2 linked regions of the Drosophila melanogaster genome follow. The protein of the gene in region 2 interacts with the protein of the main gene of each other region in a pairwise test. Each region holds a gene or a part of one and is shown on either strand. Other genes may lie near its edges.

Evidence for each region.
Region 1: the proteins of Osi18 (region 2) and CG42766 interact in a two-hybrid assay, tested with the Drosophila melanogaster proteins (one large-scale study listed by BioGRID).

What each region holds. Positions count from the first base shown.
Region 1 is NC_004354.4:15,974,532-15,978,160, reverse strand, and holds CG42766 (uncharacterized protein), read right to left. Parts: upstream 1,294-3,629; 5' UTR 1,179-1,293; coding exon 1,068-1,178; intron 1,007-1,067; coding exon 821-1,006; 3' UTR 739-820; coding exon of another isoform or gene 715-738; 3' UTR 501-714; downstream 1-500. Other genes in the region: Or13a (odorant receptor 13a), read right to left, coding at 1,455-1,529, 1,601-1,789, 1,848-1,955, 2,017-2,116, 2,669-3,100, 3,384-3,629.
Region 2 is NT_033777.3:6,328,217-6,332,152, reverse strand, and holds Osi18 (osiris 18), read right to left. Parts: upstream 1,906-3,936; 5' UTR 1,803-1,905; coding exon 1,361-1,802; intron 1,069-1,360; coding exon 590-1,068; 3' UTR 344-589; downstream 1-343.

The sequences.
Region 1 (3,629 bases), on a different chromosome or scaffold from region 2:
ATATTAATAGTTACTATTTGTGATCTTATGTTTGTCTGAGAAATTCATTAAAAATAAGAAAATATTTGCCTGGCCTTTTAAATCTACTTTTGGGAATAGTCGCGAATTCTTAAGAATCAAATAAATTGTATATCGTTTTTAGCAGTTTTTAGTCAAATTGAATTAAGTTTTTGTGCAGCTCTGTATCTCTTTTTAATAAATTTTGAAAATTTAAATTTTTAGCCCATTTTTGATTTTTGGCAAAAAATGCAATATTTAAGATGGGTTTTTTGGTTATAACTTGACTAAAAATGGCTATAATGGCCAAAAGAAGTACAGTTATTTTTTAATACGAATTACCAATACTAAGAACCCATATCACTTTTTGACAGGCTTTGTGAAATTAATTTTTGGCCAAATTTTGGCATTTTTTGCAAAATAAATGCACGAAATCGAGTTAGAATGCTGAAGAGAGTATACAGTCGTCGCAAAAAGTTCACACACCTTCATCGTGAAGAATTGAGAATGTACGAAGCAGAACAGTGCTTTATTTGCTACATTTCAGGAATAGCTACATGTTAGGGAAAATTTTGAAAAATATATGTCTAACGCCATGGCGTCCATCATTTAAACAAATAGTTGATCAGTCCCTCAAGGAGCCACGGCAGCCAAGTAATACAGCACATCGCAGTCCAAACAATCAGCGCGGGTCGCAGCCCTGTCCCGTTTTGTACGCTATTTTACATGGATTACAGAAAGCTTAGAATGGTCAAAAAAAAAAAAAAAAAAAAATATTTCAATGAGTATGTATAGAATTTTTTGGAACATATTAAATAAATTTTTATGTTTTAAGTGTCCCAATTACCACGGCTACCAAGGTGTAGATCACCTGTGCCAAAAATCTTAACTTTAAAAGGAAATTGTAGAATTGAAGGCGTCTCGCTTGGCGCTCAGTCGGATTCGTGTAATTTCTTGGCCGGCGCATTATCTTCATGGAAACTTCGGCGAAATCTATCAAATACACAATCTGCAAGTTTGGGATAGTGTATTGAGTCCATCACATGCTGCTCCATCCATTTCTCACTCACCTTGTCAAGGATATCGATAGGGAAGTGTGCTTCGCAACTGGATACGAATACCTTTATGTAGGTGCGCATAACGTAGTAGAGCAAACCACAGACCCACTCGACGGAAGGCATGGCGAAATGATGTAAGTTAGTACAAATGAATTTACAAAACTTATAAAAGATCTCGAAAAGATTGTATGAATATTTGTTCCGTACTGACTGAAAGGTACCGAATGAAAAACGAACCAGATTTAGGGCATTAAATCATGGCCAACTAGGAGCGCTGGCTGTGCAAGGAGAGGGATAACCTCTAGGAGCTCCAATCCCAGCTTCAAAATTTGTCAAAGTTTCGAATTTTGAAAATCAGCAGAAAGCAACATAACCTTAAACAGAGCTCCACGTTTTTATTTAATCTAGTTTCTTTTCGTCGTCGAAGTAAACTGACCGCAATAATGTAAAGTAACTTATCGAGGTACTTAGAATCTGAAAGAGATGAGTTTAATTGTGCAATTGATATATATATATATATATATATTTTTTTTTTGTAGACATACGGCCGTAAAACTCTGCAAGGACAACGTTGAGAACTTGAAAGCCGTAATCCTTACAGGCTGTTGACTGCAGAGGATCATAAACCAAATCTGGTTTCGGATTCGCTTGGTTGTTGGCGTGAACGATTGTATCTCAATGCGATCGGATCCTTCCCACTGGCATTCATACAGAATTTGCGCTGTTAAGGTAGACTGTTTATCGGAAATAGTTTATTAATATATTAAAAAAAAAAACAATCTACATTCTTGCCTGTTTTATCAATGCGTCGCCATTCTCGCAAAGAACGTATAATTGTGAAAGGGCCGAGGATATGTAAATTATGAACTTCACATAGTCTCCAATGAACATATTTTTTCCCTTATGAAGTTTAGAAAGAAAAGCTAGTCATTATATTAAAATATTTACTGCCAATGCTTACAGTAACTATTTGAAAGCCAACCATGCAAATAAGTACGGAGGAAATCATTAGATTGGCCAGTAGAATTGGGTTGAAAAAGTCCTCGAGGCGCTTAGCAAAACTATTGGCAAAATCAAAGTAACATGTAATGGAATCATTGTAATAGAGTCGTTGTAATAGAATCATTGTAATAGAATCGTTGTAATAGAATCGTTGTAATAAAATCATTGTAATAAAATCATTGTAATAAAATCGTTGTAATAGAATCATTGAAATGAATCATTGTAATAAAATCGTTGTAATAGAATCATTGTAATAGAATCGTTGTAATAGAATCATTGTAATGAATCATTGTAATAGAATCATTGTAATAAAATCGTTGTAAAAGAATCATTGAAATGAATCATTGTAATAAAATCGTTGTAATAGAATTATTGTAATAAAATCGTTGTAATAGAATTATTGTAATAGAATCATTGTAATAGAATCGTTGTAAAAGAATCATTGTAACAGTATCGTTGTAATAGAATCATTGTAATAGAATCATTGTAATAGTATCGTTGTGATAGAATATTTGTAATATAATCGTTGTAATAGAATCATTGTAATAGAATCATTGTAATAGGATCATTGTAATAGAATCATTGTAATTGAATATTGGCACGATACCAACCTGATAATATTGTTGTGTTTTTCCACAATACGTTTGAGTCGCTCCAGCTGAATGCTCTCGGCCAATTCCGCATTGGAACCCGCAAATAAACCTGCGATTCGTTGGTGTAGCAAATGAAATTGGCCACAAGTGTAGGTTATGAAGAAGCCAAGAATGGTGTCCTCTGCAAACAAGGTGGTGACCACACAGATTCCCGCGTAGGAGGTGAAGATGTAGGTCATCACATATCGGATCCAACTGCTCTGGGCATCGTACGGAAAGATCATCTTGTAGGGAAACGGCTTGTTCTGTGCATCGAAGGCGGGTCCAAAGAAGATCTCCACCAGCGGCAGGACACAATACATTATGATCAGGCACGCTAGCAAGGATGTCATTATGCTGAAGGTAACCATGCGTCTGCGACACTCGGCGGCAACATTGTTTTTGGAAGAACTGGAACCCATCATATATTTATATATGTAAATAAAGATTTTCTTACAAATACAGTTTGAAGATGGGTATAGTTACTCAAAAGTCTATATTATCTCAAAACCACTTTAAGTGTCCAAAAGCATGCTTAGAAAGCAAAGTTTGCTCTTTTGCACACAACAATGTAGCACACTTTTCTGCGCATTTACTCAAGTAAGATTGCAAACCTCTATAGTTTTCAATGCTCTGCAGTTTAATGCGATGATCATTTAACATCGCTTATAATAACCCTAATGAATCGACTCACTTAGGTATCCAAATTTCGTAGGAAAAGTTCTCAATAAGCTGGCGGAATTTCCTCTGATTGAGGCGAAGATGGATGAGTCGGACAAAGTTCAGGACACCCATAAAGGTGGTGCAACAATTTTCCGTGGTGATAATAATGTCCGAAAGGTTGTTCAGCAAAAAGGCCGTCTGATAGCTGATTGTTATGCCCACAGATGCAATGACGTACCACGCCCACACGATGTAGGCGGTGGCCAATAAGGATTGG
Region 2 (3,936 bases):
CATAATAAGGAAAGAAACACTTTCTTTTCGCAGTGTATTTCTAGGACAAAGCATCTTTTTCCACGTGGCATATAAAAATGTGTGCATTTCATTAAGGATTCCTCTGTGGCTTCCCCTTACTCTGCAGAGTTTTCTAAAAGTGCTCATTGGCATTTTTATCAGGCACTTTGGCCAGAAGTTGCACTCATTATTCTGTGGCATTTCATTTGCCGGAATCTCCTGGGTTAATTCAACAGACCCCCAAAGTGAAACTCCTCGCATTAGAAAAGTTTTGGGGATAATTAGCCACTTCGCTGAGGGGTTGGTACTTCCAAAAAAGTTTTCAATTAGGCACATCGTTTTTGCATGTTTTTATTGCAGTAATATTTACACAAAGGGACACCAGAGCTAATTCCCACTTAGTACCTTTTTAAAACGCCTTGGGGGTTTGGTTCTTTTTGTGGTCTTTGCTTTGTACACTTCTCAATAAATAAATAAATAAACAATACGCCGAGAGCGGTGTGTTTCAGCTACTTAACTTAGAACGAAATAAATAAGGTTACAGTTTGGCCGAATTTCGTAAGGGGGGTTTTGGTCTCTAGACCCATGTTCACTTCTGACCCGCGTAGGCCAAGTCCTGGGCATCCTGCGGCTCTTGCGAGGATCGGGCCCAGGCATGAGGATCCCAGGCGGGCGATGGGTGCTCCAGGTGCTCGATGTGCTCCACGGGCAGATCCACGTGGTGATCGATGTGGTGCTCCAGATGATGATCGATGTGATGCGGCACTATGTGCTCGATGTGGTGGGGCACCACGTGCTCGATGTGGTGGGGCACCACGTGCTCAATGTGATGCGGCACCACATGATCCACGTGATGGGGATAGTGCACCACCTCGTAGTTGACAATCTTGGGCTTGGCAATCTTGAAAATAACCAAGGCTCCAGACAGCACCAATGAGAGCAGGCCCAAGGTCATGGCCTTCCAGGTCTTTAGGGCAATGAGTCCCAAGGCCAGTGGCACCAGCACAGTGGTCTTCAGTTTCAGGCCCAGAAGGAAGGGCAGAACTGCCTTGCGGATCATGCCACGTCCTGGAAAAGTAGGAAAAATACAGATTAGATTTATCACAAGTGGTAAAAATCCAAATATTTGTATGCTGATTTGCATAAACCCTAAACATTTTTGAAATTTTTGATAATGCCATTTGTCATATTCAAATTAGTTTAACGATTTCTATTAAACACAAGAGTGGCATTTCAATAATTAGTATCAACACTTGTTTCTGACACTGTGTTGCGAATTGAATGTTATTTTGAAAAAACGTAAGCTCGTTTTGGATCGTCATCATTACTTTTTTATCTGACTTAGATCTTGAGTTCTTACCTTCGTTAGCAGCTGCCAGGGGAACTAATCCTCCCTGAGTAAGCGGATTCGACATGAGGAAGTCGGGCACCAGGGAGCGGGCTTCCGAGGTGCGGAAGTACTCCGGAGCCTGGATCCTCAGCGAGTGGCTGCCCAGATAGCTGTCGATGTCGTCGAAGAGGCGCTCCTCCGGGTTCATGGATCGGGACTCGACCTTCTCCGCGGTACGGACAATCGACAGGCGCTCGGTGATGCGCACCTCCGGCTGCCGGAGGGCAGAGTTGAACCACTGCAGGGCCTTGGGACGCACGCAGGAAACACTGAGGTCCTTAAGGCAGCCATGGTACATGTCCAGGGCTAGTTGCGTGGCGGACTGGGGCGCCACCTGACCTTCGGTGGGCGCCGAGTGGGCGGTGGACAGCGCCGCAAGGGCGACTATCAGACAAGCGGCGGTGCTCTTCATCCTTTCGACGACGGTTAGTCCTCAACTCTCACTCTGGTTCGATGGTCCGGTGGTCAGGTGGTTTGGTGGTGCGCACGCGTTGGCCACTCAGCGGGTTATGCAAATGTCGCATGGGAACCGCTTGGTTTTTATACGACGGTACTTTGCTAATTGAATTGCGTATGCCAGGTACGCACGGAGCTCTTTTTCTGCCCACCGCTTTGGGCTCCAGCTTTAGCGACCATTTCGCTTTGTTGTCAAAGTCATGGAAAGCGCAAGTTGACCACCTGAGTTTCACCTTTGTGCAGGTATGGCCCTAGCTGTGCTTCTGGCCTCTGATTCTATTTCGATACTCTAGTCTATTGGGTCAGGCGAACGTTTTATGGGCACGCTGTTCTCTTTGTGGGAGGAGTAGGAATTCCTCATTGCGACGATTTCCCGCATAATACGCGCCATAATGGGCCGCACATAATTGAAAGTTATTTGATGGCTTCTTCTGCATCGACGGCCGGGGATCCGCTCGTAAAATCAAGTGCCCAGCAATCCGAGGTGCGTGCCTGGAAACCCAATTAAAATACCACTCACCCAGCAGATTGGATACTCGTTTGTACCCACGGGGGGCAGTCAAATGCACTTGCTGACCACGGAAGCTGAAGAAATACCATTTCATTTCATTCTCCATTGTGAATCGAGTCGCTTTGATTCGTTCTTTAATATGTATTAATATTTACCTTCCAATTGTAAGAACATTTGCATAGAATTGAATGAATGAATGAATTGAATGAATGCTGAGATATGTTTGAAGTTAATTGTTTAATGGATCTCCTGTGATGTAGGGCATCAAAAATTAAATCAAAACTGCTGTATGACTTCTGCGTTATTACGAAATAAATTGTATGGAAGATTTAAATAGAGTGAAAATAGATCGGTAACCAAAATCACAAAATGGAATAGCCGTTAACCACCGATTTTCTGTAATTGATTTGCAAATAACTGAACCTTGAAGTTAATTGCATCTTAATGAAAAAACATTATGGTCTGCGGAGAGTTTCATGAGACTCCGTAAATGGGACTGCGGTAAGCAATTAAAAAAATATTACTAACCTTTTTATGCACAGTTTCTAGATTTAAGTCATTTGTGCTAAATGTTAGTGCTCTCACAGTGCAGTTTTGATGTACCAACAAATAACGCGATGAATTATTATTATTATTATTAAAATTATGGGAAAAAGAAAGATCCCATTCACATAATAATGCTCTTGAACGTTCAGATCTAGGTGAATATATTTCTAAAACGTTCGATATTGCAATAGATCAAGGTAAATGTTGTAAATCGGAGAAACAATCGGAACATTGATAATTTCCTGGCTGTAGTTTTAAAGTAGTTGCAGATGAAAATTACCAATTCTCAATTTTTTGTTATATGTATTTGAGCTTAAAAGGATATCCTGGTGAACACCAATTGGCTTAATTTCTTCCAATAGAAACCCTAAATTAGTTTTAGTAATAAGTCATTATTTGATATTTAAAGTGCCACCTAATTTTCAAATTGTAAGTATAATTATAAACAAGAATACCGAGTATAAAGGAATAAAAGGAAATAGGCCCTTTAATGATCTTCTTTCCCATCCCAATTATATTTTTCCTTGAACTTAAAGCAGGTAAACTTTTTTTAAAACAATACTCATGTTACTTGAATTAATTAACCGTGTTTGCAGTGTGCAACTTGATTTTATTAAAAATTTTTCGAATAGCGGAAATGTATTGTGAGCCAAATTTAGACAAGCCCAAGAAAATTATAAGGGCTGAGCAGGGGGGAGTACTTGGGCTGCTTTGGTATTTAATGAGCTGCCAATTTGGCAATCGGTGTTTTGATGTCAGTGCAGTTGGCTGGGCCCAGGAATCTTAATGTCTTACTTAAGCTTCCGCTCTTTGTTGTATTTTTTGTGCCTTTTTTGTTGGTTTTCATTTTGCTTTGTTTTTTGCTTGGGCAATACCGAATACTTATGCTAAAAAATAAGTGAAAGCTGTGCCATTTGCGTGTTAATTGCGCCTGGAATTTACACAAATATTAATTTCAGATGAGTTCGTACTTGTCATGGAGACATCAAAGTCGCCCCTAACGCCAATACACTGCCTAATAAATTTATTTATG